Arabidopsis thaliana: one gene and its partners. The protein of the gene in region 1 interacts with the protein of each later gene in a biochemical or structural test. Each region holds a gene or a part of one and is shown in the gene's direction. Other genes may lie near its edges.

Region 1 (5,049 bases):
AACATCCCCATTTCAACATTTTCACGATATTTATAAACTCAGCTTAAATATGAAATTATTACAAAATATCTTTCTGGTTTTTAGGTGGGGCTGAAATGCTTCTAGCATGATAGATCAATTTATAGTTGAACCATGCATAAATGATTAAATGATACTATCAGACTCTTCAAAATTCTTTCTCTTCTCGTAAGTTGGAAATTAATAAAGGACAGTCAAAGATAAAGAATAAATGATTTGGAAATTGGAACATTTTGTCATGAAAGTGCGTCGAACCAATTTAGGCTTAAGCTCAAATTGTATATGAGCTTATTATAGAGGCCCATTCATTTTGTCAAAAAGAAATTTTTTTAAATATATTTTTTACTTCCTCCTCTGCAAACATGTAAACGTGGGACGAGTAGTCTTACTTGCCGTGTAAACTTAAATATTGGCCATGTTTGGTCCGTATCAATACAAGAAGTCAAGAAGAAGACGTGTTAAGAAAGAAATTGAGGAAACAAAGCGGTCGATGTGGAACCTTCCGTGACTCCAATTAGGGTTCTGAAACTTTTGGTCTCTCATGCATGACTCCAGTTATCATTAGTTCAATACCAATTCTAGTTCTTGACGACTCAAGTCAAGATCATTCAGACGGCCTTTTAAAATCTCTTTAACGTTCGAGACAAAGATAAAATCCTTTTATTTTTTCATAGAGAAAATTGTAAAAGAGGATAACAAAATAGAGAGAATTTGCTTTTAGGAATTTCCGATTGAATATGTAGTTGGTAAAGCCTAGTTTTATATAATTATATGTGGACGGAAAAAGATTCATTATCTCGCTTATATAAAAACATACCAATTAATTATAGTCTATAGTCACAATTCATCATATATTCTAGACTTTAAAAGTTGATTTTAGAATTTCTGAGAATCGAGAGGCAACAAAAAAAGTCTACAAATTTGACTAAGAAGAAGCAGGCACATCCGCCTTGACGAAGAAAACGGTTTGGTTGGGAATGATGGAGTTGACCGGTAGACAAGTTTCGTCGAAGAAAACAAAAAAAAATAGAAACACAAAATCGGGTTTAATTTTGCAATTTCGCTTCAGTAGAAGACTTGTTGAATTCAATAACAATTTAGTTTCGTTCGACGAGTGTAATAACGCGTTGAGCATTAATAACTATCGAGGGGCCATTAAGCATTAAATTACCATTTAATTACGAATTTTAGGGGTTGTTTCCTTCATCGTAGCTTATCAAATTACACACACTCATACGTTCACACCTTCCCATTTTTCCAAGAAAAAACTTGGTTCATATTTCTTCTAATTCATACGTTTTGTGATAGTATTTTCAACTTTTGTTTTAAAGTTTTTCAACATGTATTACCAATTCAATTTGGTAATCCACCATCATATATTTATATATTGCTCGAAAGATCCGGTAGCAGTTGAGTCTGTCTGACAAATTAAAACACTATTCACGATTTTTTTCTACAGTTTTACTTTAATCTTAAAAACCAATATTATTACAAATAACCAAGTCAAAGATAAGGTCAACCCCACCAGACAAAACTTAGTTCACGGCACAACAAGACTAAGCACTGAAGTCTTTGAGAGGAAGATTTTGAAAATCTCGTGCAAAGACTAAAACATCCTTCTTTACTATATATATCTTTCGCTCCACTACGAAGGTTATTTTCGTAATTCGACACAATTCCTTACAGAGAATAAGCGAACAGATCAACAACTACTCTGCTCTTACAGGCGACGACGTCAACAACAACCCAAAATACCAAAAACCCTCAAAAGTCTCAAACAAAACTCAAAACCCAACAATTAAAGAAACAACATTTCAATATACAGATTTACTTCCTTTTACAGATTTTCCTAAAAAACCGAAATTGAAACAAACAAAACCAAAAGACGTTACCTTTTTTCCATTGATTCCTCAATTCTCTAAACAAATGAGTTAATCTTCCATGGCTGCCATGTTGATGCAGCCATGGCCACCGTTTCTTCCTCATCTAACCCTAGTTTTCTTAACCCTAATCCTCTTTTTCCCTAATCAATCCTTTTCTCAATCCGATTCTCCTCGAAACATCGAAACATTTTTCCCAAATGACACAATCACCCCTCCAGTTCAATCTCCGGTTCTATCGCCGCCGCAAAACCCATCATCTTCGTCATCGGATTCAGACAGAGGAAATATCTTGAGGGCTGTGCTTATAACAGCAGCAAGCACTTTACTTGTAGCAGCCGTGTTCTTCTTCCTCGTCCATAAATGTAGGCGGAGGAGAAACAGAGTCGGTGGCGTTGACAACACCCTTCAACCACCGGTTCCTCCGTTGGCGGAAGCGGCTTTAGCTCGTGAAGGGTTTACTCGATTCGGCGGAAACGTAAAGGGTTTGATTCTAGATGAGAATGGTCTCGATGTGTTGTATTGGAGAAAGTTACAACAGAGTCAAAGAGATAATAAAGGTGGAAGCTTTAGGAAAGAGATCATCCACGGAGACGATGAAGAGAAGAATGTGATTTATTCGAAGAGTAAGAAGAAATCTGGACCGGTGACGGAGACTCCTCTTCTCAGAGGAAGATCTTCGACTTCTCATAGTGTAATTCACAACGACAATTACCGAAATGCCACCACCACTCATCCTCCTCATGTCAAGACTGATTCTTTTGAATTCGTCAAACCAGATCCAACTCCACCACCGCCTCCACCACCGCCAATTCCGGTGAAGCAGAGTGCAACACCACCACCTCCTCCTCCTCCTAAGCTTAAGAATAATGGTCCATCTCCGCCGCCACCTCCACCGTTGAAAAAGACGGCGGCTTTGTCATCATCGGCTTCAAAAAAACCACCACCGGCTCCTAGAGGATCATCTTCAGGGGAAAGTTCAAATGGTCAGGTAAAGCTTAAGCCTTTACATTGGGATAAAGTCAATCCTGATTCTGATCATTCCATGGTTTGGGACAAAATCGATCGTGGCTCTTTCAGGTAAGATCCATAAGAACCCTAATCGTTTCTTTCAATTTGAAGGGTTTAGTCAGATAAAAATGCCAACTTTACAAATTTGGTTTCTTCTTCTTCTTCCTACAGTTTCGATGGCGATCTAATGGAGGCTCTGTTCGGCTACGTGGCGGTCGGAAAGAAATCTCCAGACGACGGCGGTGATAAAAAGCCTAGCTCAGCCTCACCGGCCCAGATTTTCATACTTGACCCGAGAAAGTCACAGAACACAGCAATTGTGCTCAAATCCTTAGGAATGACTCGTGACGAGCTTGTGGAATCGTTAATGGAAGGTCATGATTTTCATCCAGATACACTAGAGAGACTCTCTAGAATAGCTCCAACGAAAGAAGAACAATCAGCGATTCTCCAATTCGACGGTGATACGAAAATGCTCGCAGACGCTGAATCGTTTCTGTTTCATCTTCTAAAGGCGGTGCCTTGTGCGTTTACTCGTCTTAATGCGTTACTCTTTAGAGCTAATTACTATCCAGAGATCTCAAACCATAACAAAAATCTTCAGACGTTGGATTTGGCTTGTACAGAGCTTAGGTCACGTGGCTTGTTCGTGAAGCTATTGGAAGCGATTCTGAAATCTGGAAACAGAATGAATGCAGGAACAGCTAGAGAGATGCTCAAGCTTTTAATCTCACCGCGCTTTTGAAACTTTCTGATGTTAAGAGTGTTGATGGGAAGACGACTTTGCTTAACTTTGTTGTGGAAGAAGTGGTTAGGTCTGAAGGGAAGCGATGCGTGCTTAACCGAAGGACTAACCGTAGCTTTAGCCGTAGTAGCAGCAGTTCGATCTCCGAGGTTATATCGAAGGAAGAACAAGAGAAAGAGTATCTTAGACTCGGTTTACCTGTTGTTGGAGGGTTAAGCTCTGAGTTCACCAATGTTAAGAAAGCTGCAGCTGTAGACTATGACACTGTTGCTGCAACGTGCTTGGCTCTTACGTCTAGAGCGAAAGATGCTAGACGAGTGTTAGCGCAGAGCGAAGGAGATAACAAAGAAGGAGTGAGGTTTGTGAAGAAGATGAATGAGTTTCTTGATTCGGTTGAGGAAGAAGTGAAGTTAGCGAAAGAAGAAGAGAAGAAAGTGTTGGAGCTTGTGAAGAGAACAACAGAGTATTATCAAGCAGGAGCTGTGAAAGGAAAGAATCCACTTCATTTGTTTGTTATTGTTAGAGATTTTCTTGCAATGGTTGATAAAGTTTGCGTAGAGATCGCAAGGAATTTGCAGAGGAGGTCATCAATGGGGAGTACTCAGCAGAGGAATGCGGTTAAGTTTCCGGTTTTGCCTCCGAATTTCATGTCGGATAGATCAAGAAGTGATTCGGGTGGATCAGATTCCGATATGTGAGTTTGCAAAGACCATTTTTAATCTTGATGATCATATTGTTTAGAGGAGAAATGATTTGCTTGGTTGTAAATAATAGAATCGTTTGGGGTATTTGATTATATTTTTTTCCTACAAAAAAAACTTTTTGAAGTGTTAATAAGATTTGATAGTCCGAGACTCCGAGGTATTTTTCTGCATAGTGTTCATAAGAACAGAGTATTGCAATTTGCACTAATTCATATTATGAATCAGTTTTAGGATCTTTGGTTACATTTTCACCAACCTAAAATCTGATGGATGAAACAAATTCAGCCCTTTTACAAATTTCTCAGAAGCAGTCTAGGTCAAGATTGCTAATGATTATTCTATTGTTTTTCATTTCTTGCCATGTCGTAAATTCCTGAATTTTTAGTTTTAGACTTGATAAAGACAGACCACGAAGTCAAGACTTTGAATAGACAAAGAAAGGTTGTTGATTTGAATATTGTTTGGTACAGTAAAAAAAAAAGAAGTCATTCTAACAAGTCGCAACCAATATTTACATCAGGAAAGAACAAAACAAGAAAAGCAAAAAATATTCTGCTGATTTTCTATGGTTTAACAACATTAGTACTCAGAGGGTGGTGCAGATCTTAACCACGATGGCTTATTCTGCTTGACGAGTCCACCATATTCACAGCTAGCTGGTCAAGTGTTTTACAACTTCACCTTCTGGTTC
Region 2 (3,639 bases), on another chromosome or scaffold:
ATTCAATATATGCTTCTTTCAATTAGGGAGCAGGAGGCATAACGATAAAGAAAACAGGACAGTCATGTGTGTTTGGGATCTATGAAGAGCCAGTGACACCAGGACAGTGCAACATGGTCGTCGAGAGGTTGGGTGATTACCTCCTCGAACAGGGTCTCTAGAATCTTCTTACAATGTTCCACCACCTACATTTTTTTATAAGGCCATTGTTTCTCCTATTTTTTTCCTTTGGGTGATTTGCATCTCTTTCTCTAATTGATATTATAAGTTTTGGGCTAATGGACCTTCCTGGTTTCTCCCCATAGCAAACTTTTAAGAAAGCTGAAGCCTAAAAGGCTTTTACTCTCTTTGCCTTGGTTTCTTATTTATATGCATGTTTTAGTTGTTTTCTCTTTGCTTTTTTGTCAATTGCATTCTGTCTACTACACTAAATATTAACGTATTGATTGAGAAAATTGCATTATCATAATCTATAGAAAATTGTATGTAGTGTAGTAGAGACATTAATCTCACAATACTAAAAACACTTTCAAAATTTACACGAGCATTTAACACATACATCAACACTCATTATTTACAACAGAAGAAAAAACTGATACGCAACGCAATCTTTCCTAGTGATTTCATTCGTAAGAAAGAAAAAATGAACATGAGAAAGAAAAATGGCAACAGGCAGAATTCATTCATCAACTTTAATCTTTAATAGGAAAGTAATAATAGTACAATTATGTCGGAAAATCATTCCCATCCCATCTGTCTTTATTATGTGCTAATCTAACAGCTCATCGAGAAATCGAATCTCAGTCTTTTTTCCCTATTATTACATTATCACTTAGATATAAGGAAATTTTTGTTATCTCACAATATTCACTTTGAATCAATACGATGCACATATAACAAATTAACAATAGCAAGTGATTGTTTCTCTTCAATAACTCAAAAACATTTTTTTTTTTTTTGGAATAGAAAAAGGTTTATTAACCATCTTTCTAAATTTTGGGTAATTAAGAAACATTTATTGACAATGACATTAGGAAAAGAGAACATTAATTGTAAAGGGTGGACCTAAATAATTGGAATATTTTGGTGTATGGCACACAATGCAAGAGCATATCCACCCTGTAAACAAATTATGGCCATACTTCGATCTCTTTTCTTTGATTTTGGAAATTAAATTCTCTAGTATTGTTTTTTTTAGAAAAGAAAAAAAAACTTTTGTATTGTTTATTTATGTAAACTTCATTTGTTCCAATAAAATCTAAAACGTTTTCACATTTGGTTTGACAATTTTATTTACACAAATTTTCAATATACTTTTAGCGTTAGATCAAATTATACCATGCAAGAATTATATGCATTTTCTATATGATCTTGTTTAAAAATAAAAACTGTAGAAATAATGTAAAACCCGAGAAATGAAATTGTTAATAGATTAAAAAAATCATTTCTTTTAACCGGATGCAAATTTTAATCATTTTAAAAATATTTTCTTTTGATTATCATTTTAAAATTATTTATCGACTTTCACACAAAACATTTTGAATTTCATTTGTATCTACTTTTTTTTTTTTTTTGGTATTTCTTTTAGCTGTCTTTATCAAATTCAGTAAATAAATAAAATATGTATTTTAATGGAATTTTTTGCAGTAGAAATTAAAAAAGAGTTTTTTTTTATTGGAAGGCTAAATCGTGTTATTAATAATTTAAGCTCAAAGGTTGTCCAAGTCTACAAACCAAAAGCACGCTACAGAAGAAGAGGAAGAAGAAGAAGAAGCAGAGACAACAAGAAGAAGAAGAAACAGTCTCATCTCGCCGGAGAAGAAGAAAGATGTCGTGGCAATCATACGTCGATGACCATCTCATGTGCGAGGTCGAAGGCAACCACCTCACACACGCCGCCATCTTCGGCCAAGACGGCAGTGTCTGGGCTCAGAGCTCAGCTTTCCCTCAGGTTTTTCTTCCTTCTTCTTCGCGTTTCTTCCGATCCTCTGTCTCAAATAAGTTCATCGATCTGATTCAATCGTCTGATTTAGGTTTATTCCTTGTGATCCGATCTGAGGAAACTTGGATCTGGTTTTGATTTGCTAGCTTCTGACTTGTTCTCTCTGACAATCTGATTTTCTCAGTGATTGATTGGAGTTTGATTCTGAGATTTTCATGGTTTCAGTAGTCAAATCTTGTCTATAGGTGTTTTGCTTGGCACAGAATCTTATCTCCTTTCAATTCATCAAATGATAAAACTTTTCACCAAATTCTTCAAAATTTGGTATTTTACTTGAATTTGAGATCTTAGGGTCATTGCATATGAATTGTCACCTCTGCTCAGTATTGTATAAACCATGTAAAGGATCTGTTGTATTGGTAGTAGTATCATTGCTCAGTCGGTTGAAGCTAATTGCCTACTTTGTTGTTCTTGTTCATGTATTTAGTTGAAGCCTGCAGAGATAGCAGGAATCAACAAAGACTTTGAAGAAGCCGGACATCTTGCCCCAACCGGGCTATTCCTTGGCGGTGAGAAGTACATGGTTGTCCAAGGTGAGGCTGGAGCCGTCATCCGAGGGAAAAAGGTAACATTTTTCATTCGAGAAGACTCTTTTTTTGTGGTTTTGATTGAGATAATGAATCAAAGGATCAGTCTTTTAGATCAGCAAGTTAAAGTCCATGCTTACTTCTTGCAGGGACCTGGTGGAGTCACTATCAAGAAGACTACTCAAGCTCTAGTCTTTGGTATCTATGATGAACCGATGACCGGAGGGCAATGCAACTTGGTCGTGGAGAGGCTCGGCGATTACCTTATCGAGTCTGGTCTCTAAGTTCACTCAAAGTGCTTCAAACAAATTTCATTTTTCGGGTTCTTTCTTCACTAGAGAAGCACCCTTCTGCCATGTATTGTGATTTGATTGTTGTTGTGCATCAAACAAAGTTATTATACTCTTAAAAAGAACAAAGAAACAATCATATTTGTTATGGTTTTGATCCTCTCCTATGATGGCTCTTATGTTTTTCTCTTGTACTGTATTTCGTAATGTATAATTACGCTTTGGAATAAAAATTTGAGTTTGTGATCATTTGTTCTCGATCAGCTCATAAAAATTTTCTAGGTTCAGTCACAAATACATCACCAAGCTTGACATTTCGGTTACGTGGTGAAAGAAATTACCAAGTTCAACAGTTGGGCTAAATTCTAGTTTAAGTTCGCTCACTACTCAAAACTTCATACAAAAGAAGGCGACAGTGCATTCATGTACACACTTGTCACCAAATACTCGAACAAACTACAAAACACGGCAACAAAACAGAGACTGCAACCACCATTTGTCTGAATGCTTCATTGGTTGACGAAGGCGAAGCCAAGGGGGAATCAATGGCAGTTATGTTTCCAGTGATATTACCCGCCATTGTTCTGTTGAATCTGCAAAAGTAACAACAACAACATCAGCAAGTAAGATTCGTTTTTCCAGTTCGATAGATTCAAGATTGAGTAATCAGAGAGAGAAGTCACCCGTCGGTAGCCGGAGCAATCATGTACAAACAGTTACCATAACCTGCAATTTCGAGAGCTCAAATGAGACTACTATGGCTTCACATTACTCTTAATGGATGTGTTTTGGAAAGTGTATGTATACAAATACTTACTTG
Region 3 (2,938 bases), on another chromosome or scaffold:
TCATAAAAATTTCTATAAGTGATTATACCTTTAAATTAAGTTATTTATCAATCAATTTATTTCATAAAATAATCAAATATTATATATTAATATAATTTTAATGCAATATTGTAAAACCAATCAGAATAAAACTACTTTGTGCAAAATCTGGATTTTACATATATCTTGACAAAACTTTTATTTAGGGTAATATGAATTCGTGCAAGATTTGGGTAAAATGATTTCGTGCAAAATTACGACAAAACCATGAACAATTTTTTTTTAGATACCACAAAGATTTAGAGAAAAGAATCTTATAAAAAGAAAAATTATCTTGCAACGTTTTTAGTAAAAATAATAATAACACAATCAAATATATGGAAATCTTATAAAAAGATTTAGATAATAATAACACAAAGATTTAGATATATGGAATCTTATAAAAAGAAAAATTATCTTGAAATGTTTTTAGTAAAAATAATAATAACACAATCAAATATATGAAAATCAAATATTTAATATGGAAAAGTCAATATCTAAAAGTGATAAGATATGTATAACGTTTTAATCAAAGGAGTTAAATAAGGGATATCATATCAATCATAAATGGATTTTAGACAATATAATATTTATAAAATGATATTGAATATAGATGCAACTATTCAAAACTGGAATGCTAAAACATTAATACATGCTTGCATCACCCACCACCGGGTTATGAATAGTTACAAAGTTAGTTATATAATTATAAAATTGGTAATTTATATATTCAATATTGTAATAGTAAATCACAAAAATTAACAATTAACAAGCATGATTCTCTTCTTTAACGATTTTCTTTGTAGAATCATTGAATCATGCGATAGTAATTATAGAAACAAATGATAAGCATTATTCTCTTCTTTATTGAATCATTGAAAACATGCTTTTACCGATCTATACTATAATCATCGATCGGCTCATATTGTTTTGTTTCAATAATAGAAAATAAGTACTATGAACCATGAGTCGATAAGTAAACATGGTTCTTAAAAAAAATGTAAGAATCTCTATATCTACCTTTTAGAACGTGCTGATAACGTGTTATAACCAGAGAAAGAGATAAAAGAAATGAGTGTGTTATTCCATTGAGATAAATGGTTCTTTATATAGGAGTACAAAAAAAAGATAAAACCCTAAAAACATCTAGATGATGGGTTTAGATGAGGGCCTTATAATGGACATCCATCTTTATTCATAACAAAAATCAATTATAATGAAAATCGAAACATTTGTTTTTTTTTAGGAAAAGACCATATTTAATTAAATGTTTTGGTTTTCCTTAAATAAGTTTTCTATTTTTTTATTTATTTCCTCCCTTTTCATTATAACTGGTTGATTTTCTAATACAATTTTCCTCTTTAGAAACTATTAAAAAGAGCTGTGTCTGGCACGTGTCAATCATGTATAAAACAATATATTTGCGTAAATGCCATTGCCACACACTCACTCACTCGTAGTTTCGACGCTATCTCTAGAACATTCCGATAAACCACAAAGAAGAAGCAGAGCAAAAGTAAAGAAGAAGAAGAAAACAAACATGTCGTGGCAGACTTACGTCGACGATCACTTAATGTGCGATGTTGCAGGCAACCGCCTCACCGCCGCCGCAATTCTCGGCCAAGACGGTAGCGTCTGGGCTCAGAGCAACAATTTTCCTCAGGTTAGGGTTTATTTCTATACCGACTACTCAATTCTTATCATCTTGCTGTTTCTGGTTTGGTTCTATGTTGAAATCTGCAACCTTTGGTTTTGTTTAGCTACTAAACCACCAAAATTCAGCAATTTTCAATGTTTGGTTTTGATTTTCTGATTCATATGTTCTTGAGGTTATAGAGTGCAAAAGATGCATTAGAAGAAGTTCGAATCACAAGTTTAAAGCTCTTTTAAGAAGAAAGTTTTGACCTTTGGAAATAGACAAGTTCTTTGTACTGGTTATGTTGTTCATAAGTTATTAAGTTGCTTTCATGAGATGTTTAAGAGAGACTGAATTTGTTTCTCTTATAGTTTTTGTATTGTTGTTGTTTTAGGTGAAGCCTGAGGAAATTCAGGGCATCAAAGACGATTTTACTACACCTGGAACACTTGCCCCAACAGGATTGTTCCTTGGTGGTAACAAGTACATGGTAATCCAAGGAGAGCCTAATGCCGTCATTCGAGGAAAGAAGGTAACTAGACTGTTTGAATATTGTTTGATTTTTGATGAACTGTTGTTGATTTTGCTTCCATTGTAGGGAGCTGGTGGTGTTACCATCAAGAAGACCACCTTAGCTTTGGTATTTGGTATCTATGATGAACCAATGACTCCTGGACAATGCAATATGGTTGTGGAGAATCTCGGTGAGTACCTGATTGAATCGGGGCTCTGAAACTTAAGCTGCTACTATATTCATATTGCTTTATGTAATCTTCTAGTTGTGTCGTGAGAGAAAAACTATTCGATAATCCGACTGTGTATTACCTACCTTGTGATGGATCTTGGGGTTGTATGATTATTTCTAAAACAATATAGTATTGTCTACATTTGTGTCGAGTTGAAATATTTAATGAATGGCAGTGTGGTACCATAGCTTTAGAGTTCATTATTGGTTATGCAGATTGAGATTTTTGTGTATTATAGTGAGGATGATTAAGATCACAAGACTGTGGTTACACAATTGATATCAGACAAGTTTTCAGATAGAATGTCTGTACAACGATTCCACTGCAGGAAGAAAGACAAAATCGTTAGACGGTGTCACAATTTCTAGACCAAACTATTCAGGAACAAATTTTGCTTTTTCTTGCTATTGCTACATTTCTTTCAGATTTCGGTTACAGTGCCTGTGAATTCATAGTTTGCAAACTGAAGAACAACGAGATCATGAGACAGAGTTTCAAAATCCATTGGAGTAGTTCGTTTCCACGTGGAGTTGAAGCA

Evidence for each region.
Region 2: the proteins of FH4 (region 1) and PFN2 form a complex in vitro, tested with the Arabidopsis thaliana proteins (one study listed by BioGRID).
Region 3: the proteins of FH4 (region 1) and PRF3 form a complex in vitro, tested with the Arabidopsis thaliana proteins (one study listed by BioGRID).

Annotation. Positions count from the first base shown.
Region 1 is NC_003070.9:8,547,559-8,552,607, forward strand, and holds FH4 (formin homologue 4), read left to right. Parts: upstream 1-1,632; 5' UTR 1,633-1,959; coding exon 1,960-2,978; intron 2,979-3,080; coding exon 3,081-3,654; coding exon of another isoform or gene 3,655-4,352; 3' UTR 4,353-4,508; downstream 4,509-5,049. UniProt on the Arabidopsis thaliana protein: Might be involved in the organization and polarity of the actin cytoskeleton.
Region 2 is NC_003075.7:14,448,307-14,451,945, forward strand, and holds PFN2 (profilin 2), read left to right. Parts: upstream 1-1,581; 5' UTR 1,582-1,828; coding exon 1,829-1,951; intron 1,952-2,429; coding exon 2,430-2,567; intron 2,568-2,678; coding exon 2,679-2,813; 3' UTR 2,814-3,088; downstream 3,089-3,639. Other genes in the region: PRF4 (profilin 4), read left to right, coding at 27-161; AT4G29360 (O-Glycosyl hydrolases family 17 protein), read right to left, coding at 3,256-3,412, 3,503-3,545, 3,637-3,639. UniProt on the Arabidopsis thaliana protein: Binds to actin monomers and regulates the organization of the actin cytoskeleton. At high concentrations, profilin prevents the polymerization of actin, whereas it enhances it at low concentrations.
Region 3 is NC_003076.8:22,909,331-22,912,268, reverse strand, and holds PRF3 (profilin), read left to right. Parts: upstream 1-1,558; coding exon 1,559-1,681; intron 1,682-2,048; coding exon 2,049-2,186; coding exon of another isoform or gene 2,187-2,252; coding exon 2,253-2,387; downstream 2,388-2,938. Other genes in the region: AT5G56590 (O-Glycosyl hydrolases family 17 protein), read right to left, coding at 2,833-2,938. UniProt on the Arabidopsis thaliana protein: Binds to actin monomers and regulates the organization of the actin cytoskeleton. Can increase the critical concentration (Cc) of actin assembly in vitro.